Lonchura striata: one gene and its partner. The protein of the gene in region 1 binds, or shares a complex with, the protein of each later gene. Links are inferred from orthologs where the notes say so. Each region holds a gene or a part of one and is shown on either strand. Other genes may lie near its edges.

Evidence for each region.
Region 2: the proteins of DBF4 (region 1) and CDC7 are in contact, whole or in part, in a crystal structure (PDB 6YA8), measured with the Homo sapiens proteins. The link is inferred for Lonchura striata from reciprocal best matches to the Homo sapiens genes DBF4 and CDC7. Residues at the interface, in NP_006707.1 of Homo sapiens: Thr210, Arg211, Thr212, Gly213, Arg214, Leu215, Lys217, Pro218, Phe219, Val220, Lys221, Val222, Glu223, Asp224, Met225, Ser226, Gln227, Leu228, Tyr229, Arg230, Pro231, Phe232, Tyr233, Leu234, Leu236, Met239, Pro240, Ile242, Asn243, Tyr244; in NP_001127891.1 of Homo sapiens: Asn56, Val57, Phe58, Ala77, Gln78, Leu79, Gln80, Ile87, Ile93, Pro94, Thr95, Ser96, His97, Pro98, Ile99, Arg100, Ile101, Ala102, Leu105, Gln106, Thr109, Lys121, Tyr122, Cys123, Phe124, Arg125, Asn127, Asp128, Val130, Leu143.

Annotation. Positions count from the first base shown.
Region 1 is NC_134603.1:135,492,175-135,499,781, forward strand, and holds the start of DBF4 (protein DBF4 homolog A), read right to left. Parts: upstream 3,091-7,607; 5' UTR 2,998-3,090; coding exon 2,952-2,997; intron 1,884-2,951; coding exon 1,705-1,883; intron 298-1,704; coding exon 103-297; intron 1-102. Other genes in the region: mitochondrial glutathione transporter SLC25A40, read left to right, coding at 4,263-4,356, 5,151-5,210, 6,370-6,476. UniProt on the Homo sapiens protein: Regulatory subunit for CDC7 which activates its kinase activity thereby playing a central role in DNA replication and cell proliferation. Required for progression of S phase.
Region 2 is NC_134611.1:20,213,666-20,221,098, reverse strand, and holds the start of CDC7 (cell division cycle 7-related protein kinase), read right to left. Parts: upstream 3,029-7,433; coding exon 2,935-3,028; exon of another isoform or gene 2,928-2,934; intron 781-2,927; coding exon 694-780; intron 1-693. UniProt on the Homo sapiens protein: Kinase involved in initiation of DNA replication. Phosphorylates critical substrates that regulate the G1/S phase transition and initiation of DNA replication, such as MCM proteins and CLASPIN.

The sequences.
Region 1 (7,607 bases):
AGGAACTGCTGCCACCTTTAGGAAAAAAAATAGAAGAAAAATTTTTAAGAGCATATCCCATGGATCACACCTGATTTGCAGCATTATTACTAAGAAACTTACTGTATCTACTATCTTAAATGAGCTTCCATCATGTCGATCTTTTCGGTTGCTAGGATGAGGTGAACCATTTCCTCCATTAGATGCAGATTCTGGACTAGGAACAGGAGAAATCTGGCCAAGAGTTGGTGCAAATTTTGCCTCCTTTTTATTAGTCACCAGATAGTTGATATCTTTACTAAGAAAACTCTCCACTCTCTAAATATAAAGACATAAACTAAGTAATTATTTCAGGACAATAGATCAGTAACTCAATTTTACATGAAATCTTTTAAAGGAAAGAGATAAAATTTCTAAAACAATTAAGTTCAAACACACTGAGTTAACAAGAAAATATTTTCTAAATATCTGGATGACAATGACAATTAAGTTGTACTAGTATCTTACCAGCCACAAATTCTAATTTCAATTTCTTAATTTTGTAATCATCATTAAAAGAGCTTTGCTTTGTTATGATTGTTACAATTTTTTACTACCTACCTGTAATACGTTCCAATTACAAGAATGCAAACACTGCATTAAGGAATAACATTAATTCAAGGAAATTACTCTAATTTTAGGTAACAGGAATTATACAGAAGTGTTCAGCTAAACATACAGGCAGGTATTTGCAAATGTAATTTACAGTCTGCAACAAGCTATAAATTTACTGAGTTTAGAACCAGCAGAAAAAATAAAATTTCAGGATAGCTACCATGTTTCACACCTACAGTTTTCATAATATTTCTCCAAAAAGTAAAGTCTTAAGTAGATTCATATTCTTATACTCAGCAATATAAAAATGCCATCATTCTGAGTCCACTCTTCAATTTTGCTCCTTCAGTCTCTTTCATTGCCAACTTCAGTTTTGCTATCTGCCTTGTTATTTCATGTCAGATTGTATAGTTTGAGGTATTTTCCTCTTTTCCACTAATCAGTGTGGAAAGAACAAATCACACAACTTGAAACTGTGCCTTTCAATTCTGTTTGTGCATCTTTTACAGAACCAGGATATACAGAGAGAGGCATTGCTAAGTGCCCTCCACACAAGCATCCTGTACTTGCTTGTATCAGAGTTCCTTCCATATAGAAAGGAGAATTAGTAAAAAAATTAGTAAGATGCTTATAAAACTTATTGTTTAAGTAAGAGTATTCAAAAACACTCACTAAGATACTCTGTGCAAAATGCTTTTAGTGAAGTTTCTGACTTACAGAAAACAGACACAAAACTCTTTCTTTAATCTCTTCCAGGTTCAGCTAAGCACTGTTAGTTGCAACATGTAAACATGTCAATATAGTCAGAAGCAGCAGAAGAAAAATCGCCTCAAACAATGAAACCTAGTAAATTTGGATTAAAATTTAAGCCAGGTGAATAATCAACTGAAAATAAAACTTCCTAATAAGAACTTTTGTTCCAATCAGGAAAGCAGCTTCTCTTGAAAACCCACAGAATAATTTGTTGATAAGCTCATTATTTGGACTAAAGTTTAAGACAAACATAGAAAAATAAGACCCTATCTCAGCTAACTACAAATAACATTAAAATGCAGTTACAAAGAACACAAAAAAGGCATTCCACATGTGCACATTTCCTTCTAGGATCATACATGACTCTTATTAACTTACCCCTCCCAGCTCTTTGAGGTCCTTTCCTAACTTTTCAGAGATCACATTTGATGGGATATCGAGGTAAAACACCTTCCCAGTGAGCGGCTTAAATTTGAGTTTCTCTGGCTTTTCTGTGTCTTTTTTCACATTCTTCAGGGAAGATCTTATCTTTTCTGTTTTTGCTTGTATTCCATCTGCTGGGGAAAGCAGAAAAAAAAAACCAGGCAATTTAAACAGAATTGGATGTCGGCTTTATTTTTGAAAGGGAAAATTCCTAAATTAAGGAAATGGATGGAGCAAGCTTCCATAGAAAGGCTTGGGCTGGAATGGACCTTAGAGATCATCTAGTTTCAACCTCCCTGCCATAAGCAGGGACACTTTCACTAGATCACGTTGCTCAAAGCACAGTTCCACATATTGGCTTTACATTGGTTCTTCTTCCTCACTGACTTACTCCTAGCTGCTTCTCTTTTGGAGCTCAAGACAATGAGAGCTGCCACAGGAAGTGAGCAGGCCTCTTCTGGAGACAAAAAGGCAAAATGCAAAACAGTCCCTCTGTTGAAAGTATTCCTTCCCTCCCTGAAACAGTCCCAGGTAGGATAGAGAGCAGAACCACTACTCATGCTGCAAAATCCTCTAAGGTATATGAGCACACTAAAAAACGCAGGAACAGCAGTCAGTTTCGTACGGTGTGGAAGACAAAAAAACCTAGAGAAATAAGAAAATTAAGAGATATAGGTTGGTGCAACTGATCCAGAATCTGAACAGAAAGGATGGATGATAAGCAAGTGTGCAAGGACAATTCCGTAGATGATCACGGATAAAATACAGTGTAAAACTCACCACACACATGCCAGGGCCGTTTAGAAATTAACTGGAATTAATATTGGAGCACGCAGATTAAACGGCTCAGGGATAATCAGAAGTTTGGAGCGCATTAGCAAAACTACAACAGCAATGAAGAGTTCTCTTCATTGCTATGGGGGTGCGTTCTCACCCCCTGGGCCTAAGGAGCCCTTCACACAAGTACCAGCGATGCCAGCCCGGAGGGAGCAGCGGCCCGGCCATTTCCCACACACCAGGAACACGCTTTTACGCGTAACTCCCCAGGGCACACCAGGGCCCTTCCAGCCGCCCCCGCCCGCAGCGCCGGCCCGAGGCTCGGCCCAAGCGCGGCACGAGGCGGCTGCGGCGCCTCACAGCCCCGGCCGGGATGGCGGCCCCGGCTAAGCCAGGCCTGCCGGCGGCAGCTCCCCGCAGCTTACGGGGACGCGCTCCTTTGTCGGCGGCCTCGGCAGCGCTCGGCTTCATCTTCCCGCGGAGTCACATCGCGCCCCGCCGGCACGGCACCGCCGCTCCGCTCGGCACCGCCGCTCCGCTCCGCGCCGCCTTCCCGCCTGCGCCGCGGCGGCCCCGGCGCCCTCACCAACCGCCCGCGCGGCCGGCCCCGCCCGCCCCGGGGCGGGGAAGGCGGGCGGGCAGGGAGGCGGGGGAAGGAAGGCGGGCAGGGGAAGGCGGGCAGGGGAAGGCAGGCGGCTGTGGGGACCGAGCTGCGCGGGCTCGGCGCGGGCGGAGCAGTAGGAGTGGCGGCGTTCTTCCCCCCTCGCCACCGGCCGGACCGTGCCTGAGTGGCGGAGACCTTTGCACCCGTCGGCGCCGCTGATAATCGGGTATGTACGCAATTCTGGGCTGCGGTCCCCTTCTGAGTTAGAGATACCTGAAAAATAAACAATATCCCCACCTGCCGTTGCAGTTGTTAGCACCTGAGAGGACAGAGCCGGTTTGTGCTACTTAATCCTTTCTAACTTGAAGCGTAGTGAAAATAACAAAACATTCTTGTGAAGCCAGTGAAAAATTTAGATCAATGGTTCTAACAAAGTTAGGGCTGCACTTAAGCGCAACGATGCATTTTGACAGACACTCCTCTATTTGAGGATTTTATTTTCTGAAGTATTTTTATTATCTTCTCCTGTCCTGGCTAGTTGCAGATATTGTGAATGCATTCCTAAATTGCTGGAATTCGAGGAATTAGCATTTGCTGGTAGCATTATGAGTAGCTAGTCCCTGCCTGTTACAGAGGAGTGCCAGGGCACACAGTCATCACTAGCAGGCGGTGGGCTCAGCCAGGAGACCTTTCTGGCTTCTCTCAGAGGAGATGGGAGCAAGAGAAGGGCTGAGTCAATTATTCTGCAGTGCTTCAGTTTATGGGCTACAGGCTGGCAGTTTATCTTGGTAAGGATTATTTGCTTGTTTGTAGACACTTTGTTGCAGTTAAAGTCAATATGTGGTAAACGTTTAATGGGGTTTGCAAGAACATGTAAATGTAATTCATTTAAGAAGAATTTTGAAGATTTATTGTCTTTAGAAAACTTACTTGCAAAATATGGCTCAAATAATCTCAAAAATTACTGAGATGCTTCTATATAAGTAGAAAAGTAATATTGCTGGTTCTACATAACTTAGTAATGAAAATTGAAAATATTTATCCCTTGACTTTTTTTCTGCAAATTTTGAGCGTAGTCTTACAATATGTTTTTCTGTTCCTTAACAGGTTTTTCTACTCTGGAGATAAAGCCATGGCTGAAATGAGTGATATCAATGTACAAAAACTAACCATTGCTCAGCAAGCAATAGCCTCTTGTTGTGGAGCTATAATTACATCATTATTTGGTAAGGCATACTATGAAGCTGGCCACAGAGAGAATCTTACAAAGTGATTACTCTTCAGTTTGACTCAGCATGAGGTCTCCTTATGTATGTTTCCACGAACATGTGGAATCGAGCCCTCAGCCGACATAATCAGAGGAAGATGGCCCAGCTGCCCAGCCACTGCAGCGTTCAACATGTCTCAGCCTGTGACAGCTGTAAGGGCTGCAGTGGAAGCAGTGAAATGTTCACTAAACCTTCACTTTTCAAGAACCCAAATGTTTTACATATTGGCTACATGCAACAAGAAAAGAAAAGTACAAAATGAATTTAACTTTTGTTTTCTTGAAAGTTGTATTATGGTCAGTTTATTGAAAAAGAACAAACACATGAAGAATGTTGTGCTGTTTTATATGCCAGAGGCCAAAATTTGATTTTGTTTGCCTTACGGTATGCTATTTATAAAAGCAATAACTGACAACATGACACAGTGGTTTTTGAATGAGCTTTGTGTATCTCTAATATTTCATGCCTATGCAGCTGTTGGTAAATTAGAAAAGATAGATCTGATATCTTGCAAACCATATAGGGTGTGTAGTTGTCCTTTGTCTCTGATAGCATTGTCTCTGTCTGCTAACATCCCTTTTCTCTCTGCTTGATAACACTGTAAAATCTGTTAGGTGGGGTTCTCTCCCTACTCCCCGCCCCGCCACCCCGAAACAAAAAAAAGGTTGTAAAAGTTCATGATAAAGCCTCTGTAGACTTCTACATTTTCAGGGCATACTGAGTGTTTCTAAATGACTTCTGTTTTATTTTAGTAACTCCTCTTGATGTTATCAAAATTCGACTGCAAGCCCAAAGGAATCCATTCCATAAAGGTAAACAAACAAATACGTAGTGTAATGGGGGACACAGTTTGCTTTTTGCTCTTGTATTTAGCTGATAGTTGTCATAATGCTGTGCTGAGGTGCAGAATGTTTGATTTTGTGTCTCTAATATAACTGGGGGTGGGGGCAGGGGAAAGCAACAGGCTAATATGTACTAAACAGAAAAAATCCCATACATCTATACCATTTTTAACAGGCTTTTTTTTTTTTTCTGTCTTAATATTTTTATTATGGCAGAATGTACAACTAATACTAAGTTGAGTCAAACAATAAAAAGCTGTTACTAAATGAATAAATATTTCATCAGAGGGCTTAAGTGGTCAGGATGTTATATCAAAGTTCATCTCCTCCAGAATCCAGAGATTTTTGAAATGGACAAGTCTTAACAAGTCCCTTGTCTCTTGGGTTCTAAATAGATGAAGATATTGTGCTCTCAGAGATGTGCTAATGGTTCCTACTATTTACTTGTACTTAGTAAATAAGATTTAAAAGGAAAGAAGATGATTGGTTTTTCATGTTGAATGTGGAGGTATTTGCAGTCACACTTGCAAATTAAATTAGGAAAAATACTTGTGCCTTCTATCCTGGTTTTGAGTAAGTTCTAAAGCCTTCAGCAATCTGCAAATGTGAAGCTTAAAGTATGTTTTTGTAATGGCAATAATATTTTATCAAACAGGTTGAAAGCACATAATGTAGGAGAAATGAAAAACAAATGGAGGGGATGATCTAGTATAAATACAGACCAAGATAAGATATAATAATAACAATAACAAGATACAATACCTCCACTTGAATTGGATGCTGAGGCTACTTAATAAAAGATTTAAAAGTCTGAAAGATGTTCACAGTTACATACAGTAGTGATATATAGGTCTTCTGTTACTTTTACCTTTCAGCAGATGGTAATATAACCTGAATATGTCTCTTGGAGCCTTGTGAAGGCAGTTCCATTTACTTGGGCAGTCTGAGTGGTACATTTGTACCCTCTTTCCTTTGACCTAATCTGTCATTACTGACTTACCAAATTATTTTGCCCCTCTGTAACTAACCAGAAATAAATCTGTGTTGCCATTATATCCAATTTGAAATTGCTGTTGCCTAAAAACAATCTTATAAGCATTAACTATATTCTTATACACCATTTTATTAGGAAAGTGTTTTGTATACTCCAATGGCCTTATGGATCATGTATATGTTTGTGGAAGTGAGGACAGCAAAGCCTGGTATAAAAAACCTGGACATTTTAAAGGGACATGGGTAAGAACATTTTGCATGTATATAAAACTGCATTTTTAAGTAGCATACTCTAAAGTTTTCAGGTTTTTTTGGGTTGTACTGGAATCTGTTATCATTTGAGAAGGTCTTCATGTGGTTACACTGCTGATTGATGAGATTGGTTACACTGCTGTTTGATCATACCTTCTACTGTCTGCAAAAATATACATATTTCTTCCTAAAGATGAACAAGGAGGCAGTTGCACAGCTCTCCTCAAAGGTTTCTGGCTTTATTATTTGATTTTCCCCACTTCGGCTGTACTGGCAGTAGTTCCTGATTGCAGGTAATAATTTTCTCTTTCCTGCTTACAGCCCTTGTGCCCACACATCTCCCAGTGTGCTCCTCAGCTGAACTAATGGTGCAGGTGGTGTTTAAAGTTAAGTCCATGTGTCAAGTTCTCTATCCAGAGAAGTATCTATCCTGTCAAATATCTAGACTTGTAGGGCTAGCATTTTCCTAAACACTTGAAACAGACTTGCTGGCAGATACTGTCATGCTGGTTCATTAGACAATTTTTTTTGACTCTGCCATGAATTAAAATCTTGAGATTAATGCATAAGGTGTCTTCAGCAGTTTAAGAGGTTTTTGGTTTTTTTTTTAATTAAGAACTTTACAAGTGTGATTTTTTTCAGTTGCATTTTCTATATAATTTTAGAAAGTTTCTTAGTTTTCTATTTGACATGAATTTATGCCTGGTTTTGCCAGAACAAGTTGATTCTCAAAGAAGAATGACTATCATATAACTTCATCTTCTTTTTTTTAAAAAAAATTAGTCTTATCTATTACCTTCCTGTTTTGTAAACTTGTTGAAACTGGGTTATAAAGATACTAACCAGCTAGTATAAATGTGTATTTTTTGTTAAACCATGTTTGGACCTCTAGGGATGCTTGGCTTCCTTTCAAAGCTAGTCAGGTTTGTTGTAATGAACCATTTCTTTGTTTTTTCCATTCAACTTTTTACCTCACAGGATTAGTTCATCAAGGCTGTCTCCTCTAAAGCTATTTGCTTTTTCCTTCCTCTAAGTCCTTTCTGTGATCTGCCAGACTCTCTATCTTTTGAGACTCTGTAATAATGTCTGGTCTTAGGTGTATTCTAATCCATTGAATCCCAA
Region 2 (7,433 bases), on another chromosome or scaffold:
TGTTGTACTGCAAATGGTATTTTTTAAAAACACTGTTTGCTCTCAATAGTAAAACCAGAAATTTTGTTTAATTACACTATCTTTTAAGTGCTGAAGTCCCACACTCAGAAGTACCTGAATCTATTTATAGTCATGCCTGACACTAATTTAAAGGTATTTGCAATACTGTCTTTTGAAGGCAATGGGAACACAAGCATTCTAAAATTTGATACCATAAATCTTCAAAAATAAAAAGTTGTTCAATTTTAAGTAAAGCAGCTCCAACATTTCAGTTTCCTTATCCACTTCTGCCCAAGAGATTGTAGTGGAAACAAAGCTAACTTAAGGATCACCAATTAAGTATTTCAGAACACAGCTACATGTAAGTAGATTTCTCATGTAAGGGAGAAAACGAAGGGATTTTTAAGGCTATTTACTTGAATCTACATCAAAAATTTTTAATTGCCAAAATTGGAATGCTGTTTTTTTAGCAAGGCTTTAATAGACCAGATTTTCAAGAAAATATCTTGAAAGTGTTCCTAATTAATACACCTATGTGCTCAGAAGCATATTAGAATTCCTAGAGACCATGTAATAAGTCAAGAAAAGGCATTTGGCTTAAATTGTGTATATTAGGATCTTAGATTTACACTTTTTAAGTTAGAAATGCCAAAAGAAATCTTAACTCCAAGCAAAATAAAATGAAACATTTACCTTCCCCAATTTTTTCCTTTATTTTAAACACATTTACAAGCTGTGGCACTGCTTCATAAAGTTTTTCAATATCTTTTTTTACTCCTGCTGTGGGAAGAATGGGGAAAATAAGTTAGGAATTTTATTACTTGATTCAATATCTGATCTATTCTGGAGATCACAAATTACATTTCATAGGACTGTGGACTCACATACACAAAGGAAAAAACAGCACAAAGGTTTTCCATCCTGTTAACATTACCATGTGGACACTTGGTATTGCTGTTCTTCATCACACTTCTTTCTAAGCTGCAGCATTTACACATTTTTACTTATCTGACAGCAGACTCCAAGAGGGCAAAAGCTGCCTGGTTCCTAGGATACCCACACCTCATCACTAAATGTTTACATAGGATTTGCAAGGGCAATTGACAAAAGGCAAAACTGTAACAGTTGATTCTGTAGCAGAAGTGTAAATCCATCATATGCAAATCACAAATGCAGAAAAAGCAGTATTTTTTAGATATTTTAAAAATTGGTAATGCCATCTTTCCCACTGTTAGTTAAAATAGTTGGCACCAAAGCCCATGTTTGCTCTGCATCTTGGCTGCTGCACTTCGTGCTGTAATCACTAGATGGCACGACAAGGATGTATTATTTCAAGAAAATGATGTAGTTTTCCATTCAGTTTACAAATCCTTGTTGTTCAAGCCTTTTCTGTACCCCACAGAAGAATTCACTTCTTTTGAAGCTATAAATTGTGTAGAAGCTGTGACTAATTTCTGTGAAGCCAGGGGTAAAGAATATTTTAGTATACAGAACAAAGCACAAAAAGGTATTTGTGAAAAGTCAATCAAATGTGTATACATTTTTCATCCTAAAAATAAATAACAGATTAAATTGAGCATAAACAGATAAATTGTAATGTATTATATATGTAAAAATGGACCATGTTTCACCAAGGCAGTAAATCATAAGCAATAAGATTTTTTTTTTTTTAATCACAGATATGCTGGAATCAAAGCATATATTAACATGCATCCCTAGCCTTCTATGTAGCTTACTTTAAACAATAACAAAAACTGCCTGAAGAACACTTTCTTCCTGCTAAAAACCCAATAAATCAGCTAGTAATTCAAGTCATAGTTAACTTTCAATTTAATTTTTTTTTATTTCAAGATTTTATAAAAACTAACATACTAAAAATGCTTCTGACAACTGAAACCTGCTGCCTCACTTAACTATCCGTTTACATTCCTTTTTTACCCTTTATGTTGTTCTCTCTGCCTCTTCAAATTGTTTTAAGACATTTTGTGAAATATTTCAGGAATGAAAAAATCCTGAGTATATCCTAACAACCATGGAGAACTAACTCAACAACTGCTTTAGAATCTGCCAGATACTCCATTTTGTCCAACACTGAATTCAGATTCCTCCCTGGAGAAAGTTAAAGCTGTCAGACCGTTTCAAGCAGGGTGGCAGAGGCTGCAGTGCCTACTCAAGGCACTGACAGCATTTAGGAGCTCAACAGAGCTGGTTTGTGTGAAAGAGAGAAGTGCTGGAAAAAGTCAGTGATTGTCCTTGTTGAAGGACAGCAGTGTAAACATCACCTGATCTGTTCCAGGGTCCTGAATCCTCAGCTGGGTACAGAGAACATAAAGTCATTGTGCCATCAGAGAAATAATATTAATAATATTAGCCAGCATTTTCTATGACCAGATTTTAAAGTGATTTCTTCTCCTATTTGCAAAGCAATACAAACACTGTTCAGCATCAATCTGGGCATGGATATGCAGGAGTCTAAGAGAGGATTATGTATTTTAAAAAAATCAGAAGCCATTATATCTATGAACTGGCTGACCATCAGGGATTCCTGAGCAAGCATTGTACAGAAAGTGGAGACTCAGGTACACAAAGAGACTCAGAAACAACCAACAAAACCTCTTTCAGTTCAACTTCTACAAGAAAAACAAGAGTGTTTTTATAGATATAAACATATCTATTGAAGCATAAGGCTGGTGATTATAGGTTAAAAGGCAAAATACTGGGTTTGTGCACTTGTCTGGTCAGTTTTATTCTCAAGGGCTGCCTTTTTTTCATTCTGGTATCCTCTTATAATAACATGTTCTGTAATATATTAATAGTAGGTTTAGCAAAATCTTATACAGAAAGGCTTATAATCAATACTGACATTTCCCCAAGTGATGAAGCAGCATATCGGCAACAAAATGCAATGTTCACAATCCCTATTTCAGCACATACCTGAAACCTTGCTGCTCTGCTCAAGATTCCCGTGGAATTCTTCAGCCTGCTGAGGGTGCTGTTCATCACAGGGAGACTTCAACACCGTCTCCATCACAAAACAAGTCTCAAGTGAAAAAAAATACAAGACTTCGAGGGCCACTTCTGGACACCTGGGGGAGCAAGCATATCTGGTAAGACACTTCCTAGCCCTGCAGTCAGTTCCTGAGATGAGATTTAGGGGAGTCTGAGGAGTTCCTCTGTGCAAACTAAAAGAAAGTGTACCCACCATCCAAGTGAAACAGTAAACCAGTAAAGCAATGAGGATGGGGGTGGGAAGGAAGACTGCAGGATACGCTTAAATACAACTGATTTTCATCTCTCATGTTTCCTCATTCACATTAAACATTGTCTTTTCCCTAAAGTTTGCTTTGAAAGGCTGATGTACACAGAAATAGCTGCACTGCACACTGCAAAAGCTATAGAAAGTCAGAAAGATTGAAAGAAAGTATAAGAGAAAAAAATATCTTCTCCATAAGAGAGATCTCTCCCTCCTAGATAAATTCAACAAAATATAATTGTTCATTGCCCTCCCACCACAAGAAAAATAGAACATGCTTATTTTGAAATGCTTCTTCCCAAATCTTGGAAACACCACATAAAACTATGAACTAGTGAAGTCCACTAAAACTGTACAATCCAAAAAAAAAAAAAAAAAAAACCAACAAAAAAACCCCCACAAAACCAAAAAAACCTGATAATTGTTTTTCAGGAGCAAAAGAGTGGCAGGGACTTCCAGGGCAGAACAACCAGTGATAAATGAGCCTGGAAGCAGCAGCTCTTAACAGTTACTCAAAACTAGTTCTATTCAAAAGCCTTCCCTCCTTGTCAGTATGCTAAACCTTTATAGATCTGGATGAACTTTTCCACGTGGGGGAAACAAATTCTGAAAAACTCCTGATGCAAGGATTCATCTGTTTCAGCTATGGAGCCAGAAATACATTTTGTCCCCAAAGAATTTGAGCTGCCTTTACGCTGTCATCCTTGTGTAACAACAGGGACAAGAGGCAGGAGCCGTCTTTCTCGAGCCCCGTTTTTTGCGGGAGGTTTGGTGGAGAGGGACTTGGACAGCGCTGGAACGCGACTGGAGCCGGTGCTGATCTCTCACAGGCAGGCACTCCCGCTGCTAGGGTGAGGAGGCAGATCAGATACCCCTGTTCCGAGCGGGCAGCACCATGGCCCCAGCAGCAGCACAAGGGCTGCACACACTGATACAGAACAGCCGCCGGCTACAGGCGAGCCAGAGCCGTCCCGCAGCCAAAGCCCCGTGCGCGCTGCTGGTGTCACCAGGGCCACACAGAGCGGCAACGCGCCGAGCCCGCCACTGCCCCTACGGGACAGCGCCCGCCAGCGGGGCCCCGGCCCAAGCGCACACCGCGGCCTTCCCCGGCGGCCCGGGGCTCACGGGCTACAGACGGGCCCTGCGGCTCCCGCGTGGAGCCGTCACTCGGCTCCACCCCGGCCGGGCGGGCAGCCGCCGCTGGGGGTTGGCGGGCACTGAGGGGCGGAGGGCGCGCGGAGCGGGGACCCCCAGAGGAGCGGGCCGGGCCGGGCCGGGCCCCGGGGCGGCATGAGGGAGAGGGAGGGGAAGGAGCGGGGACACGCGCGCGCGGACGGGCACTCACGCGGGCACCGGCGCGCGCCGGGGTTTTGCTTTTTGCTGCCGCCGCCGCCTTTCGCGCCCGCGCGCCGCCGCCAATCCCGGCCCTCGGCGGAAGCGGCGGCCCCGGCCAATGGCGGCGCCGGGCGGGGAAGGGCGCGCTGCCATTGGCTGGAGCGGCGGGGCCCGCGCGCAGCGGCGCGGGGCGCGGCCTGTGCCGCCGGGACTGCCCCGCGCGGGACTGCCCCGCCCGCCGCGCTCCGGGCCCCACGGTGGTGTTCGTCCCTTAGACTTCGTGTCCTACGTGTGGTTGTTGCGAAACAGCCCAAGCCCCCGGTAAATTCTTGCGCTATAAATCTAGTCAAACGTCCCAGAGGCCAAGGAATGGCTCCACCTACGCCATTGTAACGGGGGAACGGCTTGGCTTGCAGCTCTGCCGTACTGCCTGAATACACAACAAAAAGGATCGCACAGAATTCAACATTAAATTTCCGTCTTGGCTCCGGTCAGGGCTGTAGCTGCTGTCCAGCAATGAGTAGGATTTGGAAGAACTATTGAAACTATTCAGTGTAAGGTTACCTGATGTTTGGAGTAGTTGGATTTTATTGAAACTAATGCAGTTGTATGTTTGTAAATGAAATAATTTAGCACTTCTTGTCTATTACCCATTTTTGGTCAATATTTCTTCTTTTTTTAAAGACAAAATAATATTACTGTTGTTGAAGAGTAGCTCCACTGCACTTGATAATGCATAAATCTCTTGTTCACTAGAATATGAACCAAAATAATCTTGTTTATTGAATATTTCAGGCAGAGATCTGTAAACGCAGCCCTTGGTAAATAACAGCTAAGCCTGGGGTTGTCAAAGTTTGCAAGGGTTCTAGCTTGGCTTTACCTGCTATAAAGCTGTACTTGGGTTAACAAATTGTCAAATGCAGAAACAGGGTCTACCACTTTTGTTAAGTTGTGCTTCCTATTATACATTTTAGAAGGAGGACGTTGAGATGAGCAGGTTTTGGTTTGATGTGTGGGTTCTTCTTTTCTAAGAGTTGTTCTCATTTGCACTTTCTGTTTAGGGCTCTAAGAAGTCAGTACTGCACCTTGAGATTTAGTGAAGTGTGCCAGCTCAATAATTTCAGTTAAGTGTGACTGTATTTAAAAGCAGATTATACCAAACATTAATAAAATGAGGTATAATGACAAAATAAAGGAGGCCAAATTCTGTTTGTTCTTATATCCACTTACAGAAGTTCAGAGGGCATCATAAGCTTTCATGAGTGCAGGTTTGTCCTAGTGCTTATGACAAGCAACATCATTCTAAATTAACCTCTTGGGACAATCTTACCTACAGCCATTTCTGAATACTGTTGAACCAGGAATTCTATTTGCCAGTTAATACTTGCAAAATAGCTGCTGATTATTTACAGGTTGCATACTTAGCTCTGCTGCCTCCTGGCCAGGTCAAAGTTTAATCCAACTTCCTTGGCCTCCCTGCCTTGGAGTTGCCCTCATGTGGAATACCAAATCACCTCCCTTTCTGTACAGCTCCTGTTATAGGCACTTCTCTGTCAGTCATACTCGGACCAGCTTCCTCCTCATCACTTCAGTTGCACTTTCACACAGCAAGAAATCTGCTTTCTTTATATCTTCTTATCAAGACCCTGTCTAGCTGTGGTTTCTTTCCCTGCAATGTCTCAATTTATCTTGGTTTCAACACCTAAAATTATTTTCATTTAGACCCAGGTAATTTATCTAGCTTGATCATTAGCTCCTCTCAATTTTCTCCTTTCTTATTGATTCAAATATGTTGTGCTCTCTCATGTCATCCTTCTAGTGATTCTGGTTCTCTATCATATCAAAATGTTTTTTTTGTTCCCATGAGCATAACTGGCCTTTATACTATAATCTCATACTGTTTCTTAATTTATTGCTCCACTCTTTTTAGCCTACCAGAAATTCCAGCCTTGATGCTTGCCTTCATTTATGTCTTTTTACCTTCTTCTTTCTCCTCTGTTTAAGGAGGAAGTTAAGTCAAATTGGATATTACTCTTCTTATATCTTCTCAAAAGTTACCTCTTAATCAATTTTTTTCTCCATGTACATCTTCACAGGAGAGAAATCAATTATATGTGCCATTTCCACTCTTATTTTCTCAGTACTTGCTTAAGTACCTTATTTAGCTTATTTTGCTCTATTTTGATTGATTATAGAAAAAGTAAAGCTTCTGCTCTGCATCTGCACAGCTTCTGTGCCTTTGCTGTAACATCAGACACTCTCTTTGCTGTTGGCTTGGATAAGCAGAAACTCCTTGTTCACTCGTGGGGCAGAGAAGGCTCCATCTTCTCATTCAACACTGAGCATCCAGCTCCAACCCTGCACCACAGCAGGAACTGCTCAGAAGGAAAGAGAAGAAATTGCATCAACTAAAAATGACAAAGTAGCACATCTAATGCTCTGTGAGCCAAACTGCTGCACTGCCTTCTCTTGTGGCTTTATCTCTAGGTTGGAAATGAAGGATGAGAAGCCAAATGACAAGCCAGGCCCATGCAGAATGTCCCCTCTGGCTGACAAGCAGTCGCCAAAACCCACATCTGGGAGCTCGCCAAGAAAGGATCCAAACATTGCTGTGTGATTGCATCCACTGCTGCCAGAATCTGCTGCTGAATCAAACTTTTCCTGTCTGCCGACAGGCCTAAAGGAATCTGTGCTGACACTAGAGCACATCTATTAACCACTTGCTAGGTCGATTAAACTAGAAGCCTCCCTGTTTGTGCCATCCTCCAGCCTTAGAAACACAATAAGCAAGATCCGGGAAGGTAATTGATGAATTGTATCCAGCACAAACAGAGGCAGGAGATCC